3 linked regions of the Drosophila melanogaster genome follow. The protein of the gene in region 3 purifies or fractionates together with the protein of the main gene of each other region. This does not show direct contact. Each region holds a gene or a part of one and is shown on either strand. Other genes may lie near its edges. The genes, in order: Rcd-1, Not10 and roq.

Region 1 (4,233 bases), on a different chromosome or scaffold from region 3:
CCACTTCGCTGCACTGGCCGTGCCAAGTGTACTGGGTGGATCTGTATTTATATCTGTGTGCCGGGACTTTACCTGCAAAACAATTTGTGGAAATCCAAACAGTACAACTTCGGAGGTGTGCCCAGGACTTGAGGCGTCAATTTGTGCTGCGGCTGTTAGTGTTTATTCCATGTGTCTATATTTAAACCTGTTGTAATTGAAGCTATTGCAAGCGCTGTATATGAGTGTCCATATTATATGCATTTGAATGTGTGTTTTGCCGTTACTGCACCCGCTGCACTACCTTTTTTTCCTGGGTTGGGCTGGGCTGGTCTGGAGCACTGGGTGCTCTTGGTGCACACCACGCGACCTAGAGCGGGACAGCAGCATGCCAGCTGCGTGGCCAGGAGCGGGACGGGGATAGCAGCAGATGCGCTTTCTGCGCAATTTTCTCGACTTTTGTTTACACACCTCGCAGGATGAGCCATTTGCATTCAGTAGAGTGATTGATTGTGATGGTCAGAACTTACATATGTATATAGAACCTATAAGATTCGTTCGGGGACACCCCCTACTATCAAATATACACAGCAAATAGCAAATATAGCAAATCCGGACAGTAGCCCAAAAGTATGCAGCGAAAAGATGATTATGAACTTTTGCGGGATTGTTAATATCCTCTGTTAGAATATTGATATTAAAAAAAAAAACAAACACGCATAAATATTTATATCGTATCGTCTGCTCGAGGTTCTTTATTGGGTGTCAGTGACAATCTTAGTATTAACATTAATTTATTTGTAATTTATGTAGGTATATTACAGCTCCGCTTAAGTCGACACAGGCAATCTCGTGCACGCTTATGAAATATGTATGTATGTATGTATGCATGTTTATGTATATTCGGTCGAGCAGCTATGTAATTAACAGCGTGGATTATTCATCATCGATGGTTGGACGTTAGAATTGATAATATAGTGCTGGGTGTGCTGTCGCTTCCACTCCCTAGGAGCCCAGTGGCGACATGCCGATCTGCTGCGGAGTGGCGCCGAGTTCCAGGTTCTTGAGCAGCATCTGCAGCCACTGCTTGGTCGACTTGTCCTCTTGCAGGCACAGCGCAAAGGTGCCGTCACGCAGCTGATCGGGCAGACACTGTCCCAGGGCCTTGCGAGCGCTGAAAGAGTCAAGGCTAGACTGAAAAGCCGAGCGATAATTTACTCGCCCGCCAAGACTTACCGTGTATTGTCCGAAAGACGCAGATAGCAGCGCACCACATGCTTCAACAGCCGGGCGCATGGATCCTTCGCCAGCTGGATGACCATTTTGCCCTGAAATCGATAAAGACCCTTAGACAATGCATAAGGCTTCGGGAAACGGACACTCACCAGGGTGATGGCCACGTGCGAAAAGCGTTCGTAGGTCTGGCAGATGTACGACAGACCCGACTCATCGAGCAGGATCTTCTGGATGATGAAAGTGGCCACAGTCTTGCTCAGCTCCGATCCGCTGTCCATGATGCTCAGACAAAGGGGCACGATCTCGGTGGTCAGCAGAAAGGTGATCACCTCCTGTTCGTCGGTCTGTCGATAGCAGTAATAAGAAGACAACAAGTGCATTAGTGCATTAGATGACCACTGGCCTTCGGCTTAACCTACCTTGACCAGAGCACCAATCACGCCCAAACTGGTCAGGCGCAAGTACTCGAAGGGCCTGGTCTTGGACGTGGTCGACAAGAAAGGGTACAAGTACAGCGGTATCTGGGCCTGCAGGAAGGCCGTGCGAGTCTCCGGGTGCGAGGCGACGCACTGCAGCAGCGCCAGGGCGTTGCACACGCGGTTCGACTGGTGGGCCGTCAAAGTGGGCGGCGTTATCGATGGGTAGATGTTAACAATCTCCTGCAACAGGGCGCAGGCGGTCCCGAAGCTGTTCCACAGCATGGGGGCCAGGTCCGTCTCACGCTTCTTGCTTAGCTCGAGCAGAGCGGTTTCACGCGTGTCCGGATGGGCCAGCTCATTGATCCACTGGTACACCTGGCGGGCGATAAGTTAAAGCTAGCACGCGTTCTTGCCGACATCGGCTTACCTTCTCCTGCTCGGTCTGCTGCTGCTGCTGTTGCTGCTGCTGCTGCTGCTGAGGATTCATATGCGGACTCGGTTGAGCACTCATCGTGTTAACTTGACAAGATCTGGGTAAGAACTGTCGCCGGACGCTTGCAATGCACTTAGTGTCGGCGAGAACTCGCTGAACGGAACGGGACCTGCGAAAAGGAAGAGGTGGATTCCTATCGCCGGACGCTTAGATCGGGCGAGAGTTCGCTGAACGGAATGGGGCCTGCGAAAAGGAAGAGGTGGAACTAGCGATTTGTCGTCGATTTCTATAGCCGGACGCTTGCAATAGACTTAGCTCGGGCGAGAATTCGCTGAACGGAACGGGGCCTGCGAAAAAGGAAGAGGTAAAACTGGCGATTTGGCGTCTATTGCGATTATCGATAACGTTAGCAGGAAATTCCTTTTGCATTGGTTTAAGTCTAAAATGATCGAAAACAAGTGGCGACAACCAGGATTATGTTGTGTGCCGAACAGTGTGGCCAGAACCGCGCAAATGCCGCTGGAAATTGGTGAAACGCAAGCGCGCTATTTGTTTTCCAGCGTCGATGTAAATATGTACATAAATTTAAATTTTCAGAGAAACTTCCCGCCGTACGAAAACACAAAGTCTGAATGAAATCAAACATGATTTGCCAAATACAACTGCTTGCGCATGCTTTGTTGGTGCAAAATGCAAAAGTCTACAATTTTGAAGAAAATAGGCTTGATATCTTTGAAAAAGGATGACATTGCAAAGAAATAATGAATGGACGTGAGCGCGTGATTGCGAATGACCGATGATTACATTGATCAAAAGTAATAACCATAATGGGTATTTTAATTAGGTTATAGTTCATAATTTGCATGCTAAAAGCTAAAAATGCAATTTAGTAAAGACGCATTTAGCGGTAGTCAAGTGCACCGACTGGTTTGTATCCCGGCTATCCCCGTCGATTTTGTGGTATTTCTTAGCACATTCCCCGCCAGCCGGGTATCTAGCTGACAGCCGCAAAACGGCCACACTGATTTTCATTTGTCGTGACGAGTACCTCGGAATCGAAAAGAAAAAAACATAAGCAGACAGGCGAAACAGAGCATTCCGTTCAATAATGAATGCATAAGAACGTTCGACGCGCGCCGAGAACCAGTCTGCATACGAGTCGTGCGTGCGGCCAGCGTGTTGGATATATTTTTTTGAGGTTTGCGCCAGTTTCCAATGCACTCTCGTGTCGCCCTGCCTTCTGTACCATCGAATTTGAATCGTTAAAAGTGCGTGGAAAAGTGTACGAATCGAAACCAATACACGGAAAGTGGGACAACGGCGACTGAGAGAGCTCGTTGCGCTTGTCTCTGTGTCGCTGCCTTTGTGTGCGTACGACTGAGCGTGTGTGTGTGTGTGCCGTTCTGTTGCTGTTGTGTGTGTGTGTGTGCATGCGTGTGCACCGCCGATGTGTGCGTGCGAGTAGTGCCTACTGCGGCCGAGAGTCGAGTGTTGCCCGTGCTTCGAAATCGCATTGAATCGTATGGAAAAATGTGTTTTACTTCTCGCCCAACAACGCCGAACGCCTAAAAAAGAAAATTGCCGCACGGCGTCGCGCAGCATCAATCAAAGTGCATAGAAATATGAGCATGCCAATGCCAGCAAAGGCAAAGGCAAACGAAATAGCAAATCCAAATCGCAATCGCGAATTGTGCACGCAAATCAAAAGCAGGCGCTCTTCTACTCCACCATCTTCTTTTGTCTGTCTCTGAGCGACGACTTTGCCGCATGGTGAGTTTGCCGTTTGCTTGTCGTTGCTGCTTCTTCTTTGCCCCGTTCGTTATTGTTGTTGTCGTTGGTATTGGTAGTGGTAGTGGTTGTAGTGGTGGTGTTGGGTCAGGGCTTTGGCGGCGGCGTCGTTGTTGCTAATTTTGTTGCCAGTGCACTGGCTGTCGATATTGCGCTCTAAAATCGTGCTCACAATAATATTAGTCCTAGTGCAGATAGATAGATGCTTGCATTTGGCCAGTAGAAATGTAAGCATACATATACGCAGGCCAGGGCAACCAACCCATATGAGTGTGTGCGTGTCGTGCTCCTTCGTATGTGTGTGTGTGTGTGTGGATTTTCTCCATGCAGCGGCATCGACTGCTTGTGGTGGATTTGGCCGCCAGCGTGGTGAATTCG
Region 2 (4,776 bases), on a different chromosome or scaffold from region 3:
CGCACTATTCAGAATCTATTTAGATAGAATTACGAAACAATACATTGTAATTATAAGAAGCCACTAGAAAAGTTTCAATCCTTAAGAGGAAACTTAACCCTGAGTTTTATAAGTGAAAACGGAAACTTCGATAAGCGCCTGAAGAGTATTTAATCATGAACATACATATCCCCGCAGATTGTGGTGCCACCACTCCCAGGAAAGGCATGGAAGCGGCAGATGCCCTTCCGCGGCGACGAGGGCATCTTTGACGAAAGCTTCATCGAGGAGCGGCGCAAGGGACTGGAGGCCTTCATCAACAAGATAGCCGGACATCCGCTGGCGCAGAACGAGCGCTGCCTGCATATGTTCCTGCAGGAGAATGTCATAGATAAGAACTACGTGCCCGGCAAGATTCGGAACACATAAGCAGCTTAGTCCGGCGCAATCGAAACCCCCTAACCATAGCAATGCAATGAAGCAAAAACTCGAACGAACAAACCTGCTACGAAATCTTTATGGGAAGCCGTGTGAATGTGTGTGCTTGCCCGGATTGGAGGAGGATGGAGCAGATGAGCGATGATGTAGGTTGGTGGAGAAGGGATCTGTTATGCGACGCGATACGAGGCGGGAAGTGCTGCTGCTCAGTTAATGTTGAGCCCCTCTCAGCCCCCGGGGATTAGTTAAAAACCAGCATTGGGAATTTTTAATGCTAAATTCAAGTTTATATGGTATACATAACAATATACATACACATATATATATATTATACACAATACACATATTTACGAATAGTGTACATAAGACATGCCTACTACGCCCTCGCTAAATGAGTCTCGAAAGTAGGAGCTGCCCCTCCCATTTTCCCGATCCTCAGTTTCTTCGTTTTGAACCATTGCAGCGGTAATGAAGCAGCAAATAAAATAAGGGAGCCATCCTGACCCCAAAATCGATCCCTTGTAAGTGTATGCAAATTATTGAATATTTTGAAACAGTTTAGTGAATAATATTGTACTTCGAATCAAATTAAAATAATTCAAAAATATTGAACTGCTGATATTATTTGAATGTGCTTGAAAATGATGCGCAACTGAAGATTAAGTTGAGTTTTGTATAAAATATTAGCCTTTTTCCTAGCCAATTCTGCGGGATGGAAGTTTGTTCTTCAACTGGTCGATGTTGAATCTATGTAGTTCCCATCATATAAACCAGGCGAGGATTAATAACAATATGATGAAACAGGAAACTTCGATTGAATGCAAGGATAATTACAGTTGGGTGGGTAGGTGGATCAAAAATTGTAAACGATAAATGGATATTTTATTATTCTAAATATTATATATCATCACAAACAAAAGTCTCAGTTGAAATAAAGGTATAGGTTTCGCGCGCTGCAAATCTAGACTAGTGATGTGCTGCCACCTATCGACAGCAAAATGCCAATTTGACCATTGTAAAGTTAAAATTTTATATAGAATATATTTTAATTTGTTCATATTAACAATTTAATTTTTAATTAATAAATTAACAAGAAATTTAACAAGTTGTTTAATGTTAAGAATTAACTTATTTATTAATAAGGTTAACCGCTTTAGTTACGGTTAAAAGTGGCAACGCTGTGCTTGTTGATTCTGGCAACGCTGTGTCATCTGTGGATTGGTTCGGTTTTTTTGTTTTTATTTATTTTTGGCATGGACTCGGCGGAATCCCCCACCAAAACGCAGGCCGGCGAGGACGAGAACTACAGTCTGCTGTGCCAGGCGCACGAGCAGTTCAACAAGTGAGTGTTCATCCGCGTGTCACCGGGAAGTGCACCCATAACCGCCACTCCTTTCCGGCTGCTCCTCATTCTAGCTCGGAGTTTGATCGCTGCTTGGAACTGCTCCAGGAGTTGGAGACGCGCGGCGAGAGCAGTGGTCCTGTCCTGCGGCACAACCGGGCGGTGGTCAGCTACTACAAAACCGGGTGCACCCAACACTCCGTCCTGCTGAAAGAACTGGAGGCTCTAACCGCCGATGCAGATGCGCCCGGAGACGTGTCCAGCGGGCTGAGCCTTAAGCAGGGAGCTGCCGCCGCCACTGTTGCTCGTTACAACCGGGCGGTCATCTATTATCACCGCCATATGTTCGGCACGGCACTGGAGAAACTAGCACCACTAGTGGCTCGTCTGGAAGCCCTGGAGAAGGCAATGGCAGCGCTGGTGGCCACACTACAGCTACAGCTGCTGCTGGCCACCAATCAACTAAACCGAGCCGAGGCCTTTCTGGATTACTTGCAGTACAAGCTTAACCTGGTGGCCACAGCGCCTAGCAGCAATGCGGCCGAAGAGGCAGCTGTTGTCGGCACAGCACCTCCGTCAGCAGCGACGAACAGTTCAGTGGTGGCCTCACCAGGAGGAGCAGCTGTGGAGGGAGCTGTGCCCGGTCTGGGCGGTAGTCTGCAGCTCTTGCAGCTAATAACGCTCGTGCTTAACCGAAAACCGGTGGTTATTCAGGAAGACGGCACGCCGGAGTACGCTGCTCTGAAGGCTCAGCAGTACTACATCATGAAGGATTTTCAGATGGCCGCCAAGCAGCTTATGCGAATCAATAACGAGTGTACACAAGCGGGGTGAGTCTGCTTCATTTTAAGTTCAAAGAAGACATACTATTTTATTGTCTATCTTAATAGCACTATAACCCCCCAGCTGAGCACGTGCATTGCCAACAATATGGGAGTGATACACTTAAGAGTGCGTCACTATGCCATCGCCGCCAAGTTCTTCCAAAATGCGCTCAACTTTGACCAGCAGCTGGCGCGAAATTTGCGCCAGAGTACGCTGCAAACCATGAGTTCGGCACGGTCCTGCGAGATCCTTTACAACCTCGGTGTGGCCATGTTGCACCTACGACGCCCCAAGGAGGCGTTTCAGTGCTTTCTGGTTCCCGTTAAGCAATTCCACAGCAATCCACGTCTTTGGCTGCGCATGGCTGAGGCCTGCATCATGGAGCATGAGGCGGTAAGACAACTTTACACTAACATGTTCTAGTACAATAGAGTCACAATAGGGTATTTATTTGTCTTAAATCTCAAATTATTTTATTTTGTTTTAAAGAAACTAGTGGAGGAGGAGCGCCAGTCGCAGTCAGAAACGCCATCAACAAAGCCATACGCGTAAGTGCTAATTCGTTAGCTTAGTTCATTGCTGGTAGTAAACTTTTCCTAATTTTAGTCCTCAATCGGCGGGAGTTCCAGAGCCCACGCTGGAATTCGCTGTCTTGTGTCTACGTAGCGCGTTAACGCTTACGCAGCACTACAAGACGAGGTTTCACATGGCGGCGGTCTCCTCGGAGGATGTGGAAGCACCCGAACCCAAGGACCCAACTCAGGAGAGTTGGCGTCATCCCCAGGACAATAACTTCTGCAATCCCTCGAAGCCAGTCAGCCTAGAGTCTTTGGAAAACATGATGGCTGCCATATATGCTGCTCACAGCTTCGTCTCGCTGCGCCTAGGCGATCATGTGACCGCGCTCGAGATGTCGGAAAAACTGCTGGCCTGTGAACGCTTGTCCGATGCACACAAGTACAATACAGTTTCTATTTAATCTTCCCATGTTTGGTTTAACATATTTACCTTTTTTTCTTCAGATTGCTAGGTCACATGTACGCTGGCGAGGCGTTGATGCTTATGGACAAGGCCAGCGAGGCACGCGACCATTTGGACCCTACTTTTGTGGGCACACTAAACGCCTTCGATTTTGAGACGCGTGACTGGCAACTGAAGTCGGTGGACGCCGCTCAGAACGTTGTGCGGTATAATCTGGCCGTTGCCATGGCTCTACAGAACGACCTGCCTCAAGCTAAAGCACTCCTGGCCAATTTAACTCATTCGCTGGTTGCCAACAAGGCGCTTGCTTTGCGACGCTTCATGGACCTCAAAATGGGTCCCGTTCCTGGCGGGACGCCGAGTTAGACAACAAATTGTGTATATAACTAGACGGAATTAAAGTGCAAGAATGAAATGACGAGGAAGCGAACTATTTGTTTGACGATCATCAGTTTTTCAGCATTTTACAGGGTGCAAACAAGGTGTATAAAACAATGTCTGTTAACTAATCCATATGTGCTTATATATTTGTACACAGAGAATTGGTGTTGGCAATAGCAAATTATCTCACAATATTTTACGTTGAACTTTTGCATACTCCAGTCATTGAGACTTTTTCATAGGAATTCTACAAATTAGATTACCCTCTACGTTAAAGCGTTGGACACTTAAATTTTAAGTATCTATCTCAGGAATTTTAAAAGTTGGGTCAGAATTATTTTGACTTGTGCAAGTTACTCTTACTCGAAATGCCGTATAAAACGCTTGTCATTCTGAGTGTCTGTACTCAAATAGTCAATGGAATAACTTCTGTAAGTGCTTTTTAGTCGATAATTATAGCTATAGGCAAGTGCTACGCTCTCTTTTCCAAGGCCGAAATCATAGCCTCGCACAACTATCCGGTGGAAATTCACACAGTGGTCACACGAGATGGGTATTTACTCAACGCGTTCCGCATACCGAACTCAATCTATTGCGAGCAATCTGGAACAAAGCCGGCGGTTCTCTTCCAGCACGGAATGACCGCCTCCTCGGATGTTTTCCTAGTGAATGGACCTCGGGATGCATTGCCATTCATGTTGGCCGACGCCTGCTTTGACGTTTGGCTGAGTAACTCGCGGGGCACTCGGTATTCCCGACGCCACGTGTCTTTGGATCCCTCCGATGAGGACTTCTGGCGCTTCAGCTGGCACGAGATTGGAACGGAGGAC
Region 3 (4,834 bases):
CACTTTAGTCCTTGTCTGTGTGGCGGAATGGTATGCGGGCAGCAAGCTGAGGGTGTACATCGATCCCCAGGACGAGCAGAAGTTCTTCGGCAAGGAGCATGGACTGCTCCTGATGAACCACACGTACGAGATCGACTGGCTGACCGCCTGGATGATCACCGACAAGCTGGGCAATCTGGGAGGCACCAAGGCGTATGCCAAGAAGATGCTGCGCTATGTTCCGGTCCTGGGATGGGTCTGGTGGATGGCCGAGTTCATCTTCCTTGACCGCAACTTCGAGAAGGACAAGGTGGTGATCAAGACGCAGCTGAAGGAGGTCTTCTCCTATCCGGATCCCGTGTGGCTACTGCTGAACGCGGAGGGCACCCGTTTCACACCCGCCAAACACGAGCTGTCAGTCAAGTTCGCCGAGGAGCGAGGTCTTCCCCTCCTCAAGCACCATCTGATTCCGCGCACTAAGGGATTCACGACCAGTCTGCCCACCATGCGTGGCATCTGTCCTGCCATCTACGACATCAATCTGGCCTTCAAGAAGAATGCCGAGGTGAGAACTTAAGATCTCATATATATGTATATATATTTTAAATTACATTTTCGAACTTGAATTAACTTACAGCCAAAGCCCACCATGCTGTCCCAGTTGAACGGAGAGCCCGTGGAACCGTACATGTACATTCGCCGAGTGCCACTGGACGTGGTTCCCGATGACGAGAAGGAGGCCGCCGCCTGGATGCAGGACTTCTTTGCGGAAAAGGACAAGATCATCGACAGCTTCCACGAGACCGGCAGCTTCTTTAAGAATTCCGGAGTCAAGGAGGTGCCCGAGAAAATCTACAAGCCGCGCCTGAGCACGCTCCTCAACTTCTTGGGCTGGGCCACCTTTGCCGTCCTGTGCATTCTGCACTACTTGGTCACCTCGCTGGTTGCCGGCAACTGGTTTGGCTTCATCACGGTTCTTTCCATTTTGGGAGGATGTAAGTTGAGAAATTCTAGTTTCGAGGATATGTGCTTAACTTTACAACTTGTACTTCCAGTCTATAGCCTCATGGAATACGCTGTGAATGCTTCGAAGATCAGCAAAGCCTCTGCGTATGGAGCAGCTGCTGCCAAGAAATAGATTTTCATACCTGAGTTTTATAAACTCTGCAACAGTTTTGGAATATACGACCTATGGACTAATAACTCAACTGCACTGACCATAGAAATATTATGTACATTGAATATGTACGATAAACCATTGTAGTTAACTGAATAAAATAACATTTTATGCGAAATTCACTTACAGGAACTAAATGATTCTTAGAGGCAAATATTTAATATGTGTTTGTACATCCAATCGAAAAAATTTCTCACAAATTCACTTACAAGAACTAAAAGTTTCTTTGAGGCAAATATTTAATGTGTTTGTACATTAAATCGAAAAGATTTCTCAGTCTTCTACCACTTATATAAACGTCGTAGTTACAAAGTTTAAACTTCTTGTACTTTTGTTTTTCTAATTAGAACATGTGTTGTATATTTTAGCCATTTATACAATAAATGCTATAAAATTAGGTTATCGAATTTCAAATATAGATAGTGATGTCCAAAACGATAACTGCTTATCGCAATCAGCTGAGAGCGCCTAGTGCGACCCTTCGTGTAAGCAGTGCAGCAAGACATTCAACGTTTTCAGCCAGCTGGATTCAGTATTCCGCCGCTCGTCACCTGCGGTCATACTGATTGCAACTTCCCAAATTTCTTACAATAATCCAATGAAAATTAAAAAACATATTTTCGTACCTTTAATGCAATAATATGTGCATTTTGAAGGTGAGTCAGTGCAGCACCAGTGCCAAAAATTGCATTAAACCAAGTTTGTGCGAAATCCACGAAGCAGAGTGAAAAGTGAAACGTAACGAAAAAAACGTTGAGAGAGATTTTCGTGTAGTTCATTGTTTTTCCTGGGGGATTACTTGGTTTCAAGGACCTTTCACTGGCCTGTGGCCCTACTTTTCGAAGGTGCCATTCCTTGGGTTGGCACAACCTATAGGATACTGCCCGAAATTCCCTTTGTTCGCGTCTCGAAAGAAAGCGGATGCTTGATGACGTTGAAAGCGAGTTACGTTTGTGTCCCCCATAAAGGCAGTTATGCGTGTGTGTGTGAGTGGCTCTCTCTCTCTGGGGTCTCAAAAGGAATATTAGCGATCCTTTGAGCACTTGAAGATCCGAAAAAGTTCTCCAGGAAGTGCAACTGGGGTATAAAAATATATAGTTGCTATATATACATACAGATATACTTGCATGCGTGTACAAATGCCCTCGCACACAAACAGCAGCAGACGAGTGTGCGTGTGTGTCTGTGTGGGGGGAGCACGCGAGTGTGTGCGTGTGGCGACAGCTGACGTTGGGGGTAAGGCAAGAAGAAGAAAAAGACGAAAGCGAAACTTTTTACTGTGCCACTTTTGATCGTTGTAAAAGGAAAATAAGACTATCTTGAGTCACGTCACTTTCATCGTTACATCAATTCGATAATAACGAGCATATTTTATGGGATATTAGATCTTTACACGATTTACCCTTTTATAGATCGATAATTTAAGTATTTATAGGTGGGCTCTATACAGATCTTATTGTGATAGATTCCATTAAGACTTATAGATGTAGGCTGCCACAAGTCTGTTTCAAATATTATACTTCATTCTCAGAAAAAACTAATGTTTTCCATAAAGTTAAATCTGATAAGGATATACATAAATTGAATTACCCATAGAGCATATGTGTGAACATTTGTAGCATGATTTCTTTACCCAAGATAAGAAACATTACTCATTCATGCTATGAAATTTTAAAGGCAGTATTACTTCCGCCATTCCTACAATATATATGAATAGAATATGTTTAACAAGCCTGATTCGGGTAATTTGTTCCGATTTCAATATCACCAAGATTCCATTAAAATAAGATTTTCCTTACCTTTTGGCTTATTTTATTTTAATTGGTATTTTTATGTAATTTACGCACAGCATGCCGATTCAGGCTCCCTCATGGACAGATTTTCTGAACTGTCCCATCTGCTGCAATGAATTCGCGGCCAGCCAGCGATGTCCGGTCAGTCTGGGCTGCGGGCACACCATCTGCAAGCTATGCCTGACGACCCTCTACAACCGGCAGTGTCCCTTCGATCAGGTGAGTTGAACTCCATTTAAGTATTGCGCCAACCCTAAACGATCTGCCCTAATCTCTTTTCTCAGACCGTGATTGTCAGTGACATCGACAATTTGCCCATCAACCATGCCTTGCTCCAGTTGGTCAAGGACTCGGAGCTCCTCGAGCTGGCACCACCACCGCCCAGTGTGCAGAAGCTGGAGCCGGAGCACCTTAAGTGTTACCAACTGGGTCAGCGGTGCATCGAGGAGCTGGCTTTGCACTTGAAGTCCTTCCTCAACCTGAACGGAAATGGCAATCTTCTAACTCGACCCATGTTACGGAAACTGGTTACTCTGGTCAACTGCCAGCTGATGGAGGAGGAGGGACGGGTGAGAGCGCTTCGAGCAGCCAGATCCCTAGGCGAACGCACAGTCACCGAGCTGATCCTGCAGCACCAAAATCCCCAGCAGTTGAGCTCAAATCTGTGGGCTGCAGTGCGGACAAGAGGATGCCAGTTCCTTGGACCCGCCATGCAGGAGGAGGTGCTCAAACTGGTGCTGCTGGCCTTGGAGGAGGGATCAGCGCTTTCGCGCAAAGTGCTGGTCATGTTCGTCGTGCAGCGACTAGAGCCGAAGTTTCCCCAGGCCTCCAAGACGAGTATCGGACATGTGGTACAGCTGCTCTACCGCGCCAGCTGCTTCAAGGTGTCCAAGCGGGAGGCGGACTCGTCGTTGATGCAGCTCAAAGAGGAATTCCGTACGTATGACGCCCTACGCCGGGAGCACGATGCCCAAATCGTTCAGATAGCCACCGAGGCGGGTCTGCGAATTGCACCGGAACAATGGTCTTCCCTATTGTATGGCGACGTGATGCATAAAAGCCACATGCAGAGCATCATCGATAAGCTGCAGACGCCAAGCTCCTTTGCGCAATCAGTCCAGGAATTGGTCATCGCCTTGCAGCGGACCAGCGATCCTGCGAAGCTATCCAGTTTGCATCATCATCTGAAGTACCTGGCCAATATTGATCCCTGTGCGGAGGTTGCCCCGTGGTCGGTTTTGGCTGAGGCCTTGGATGCAGTGCGGCATTCGGTCGTTGGACTGGTGAACTTCCTTCAGCACCACGGAGTGCGCAAGGCGCAGGACGGCATCAGTGGCGGTGGCAGTGGTGGGACGACCAATAGCAATCCGAAGTACAAGATCAGCTTATGCAGGGACTTGAATGTGCGGCGGGTGTGTCCCCGAGGTTCTAGCTGTACCTTTGCCCATTCCCAGGAGGAGGTAGAACGCTATCGTGCACGGAATCGAGGAAAACATATGAAGACACCGTTGGCGCTGCAGGGACCTCCAGCGGTAGGCGTAGGAGCCATAAAGAAACCACTAGGCGAGCAGGAGGGACCGCCTCTAGGTAACATGCCACCCATGTTACCTATGTCGCCTATGCATTATATGGGCTCTCCTAGGGGATATCTGGATCCCAGCTTGGGACTTTCGCCAGGTGGTGGTCTCCCGCCGTCGCATCACAGTCCCATTACCAGGCTCATAGTGCCGAGCCGCTACGATTCGCGCTTTAGCGGGTTTGGCGGTGGCACGCCCAGGATTCCTTCGCCCAGAGAATACCAAGCCAATCCGGTAGCGCCAACGCAACGCAATGCCAACCCACCGAATTTTAGTGTGAACAGTAACCTGCACAAGGGCTACATGTT

The links.
Region 1: the proteins of roq (region 3) and Rcd-1 purify together in Drosophila melanogaster (affinity purification with western blotting, with the first as the bait; one study listed by BioGRID). This does not show direct contact.
Region 2: the proteins of roq (region 3) and Not10 purify together in Drosophila melanogaster (affinity purification with western blotting, with the first as the bait; one study listed by BioGRID). This does not show direct contact.

Annotation. Positions count from the first base shown.
Region 1 is NC_004354.4:19,637,222-19,641,454, reverse strand, and holds Rcd-1 (required for cell differentiation 1), read right to left. Parts: upstream 2,567-4,233; 5' UTR 2,146-2,566; coding exon 2,062-2,145; intron 2,010-2,061; coding exon 1,635-2,009; intron 1,560-1,634; coding exon 1,365-1,559; intron 1,308-1,364; coding exon 1,216-1,307; intron 1,154-1,215; coding exon 985-1,153; 3' UTR 709-984; downstream 1-708.
Region 2 is NT_033777.3:12,629,045-12,633,820, forward strand, and holds Not10 (CCR4-NOT transcription complex subunit 10), read left to right. Parts: upstream 1-1,602; 5' UTR 1,603-1,670; coding exon 1,671-1,759; intron 1,760-1,833; coding exon 1,834-2,589; intron 2,590-2,649; coding exon 2,650-2,977; intron 2,978-3,073; coding exon 3,074-3,132; intron 3,133-3,190; coding exon 3,191-3,541; intron 3,542-3,606; coding exon 3,607-3,931; 3' UTR 3,932-4,144; downstream 4,145-4,776. Other genes in the region: Snx3 (sorting nexin 3), read left to right, coding at 178-408; CG18530 (uncharacterized protein), read left to right, coding at 4,315-4,377, 4,438-4,776. UniProt on the Drosophila melanogaster protein: Component of the CCR4-NOT complex which is one of the major cellular mRNA deadenylases and is linked to various cellular processes including bulk mRNA degradation, miRNA-mediated repression, translational repression during translational initiation and general transcription regulation.
Region 3 is NT_037436.4:16,375,410-16,380,243, reverse strand, and holds the start of roq (roquin), read left to right. Parts: upstream 1-1,677; 5' UTR 1,678-1,812; intron 1,813-3,005; 5' UTR 3,006-3,006; coding exon 3,007-3,168; intron 3,169-3,233; coding exon 3,234-4,834. Other genes in the region: Agpat4 (1-Acylglycerol-3-phosphate O-acyltransferase 4), read left to right, coding at 9-544, 617-974, 1,035-1,117.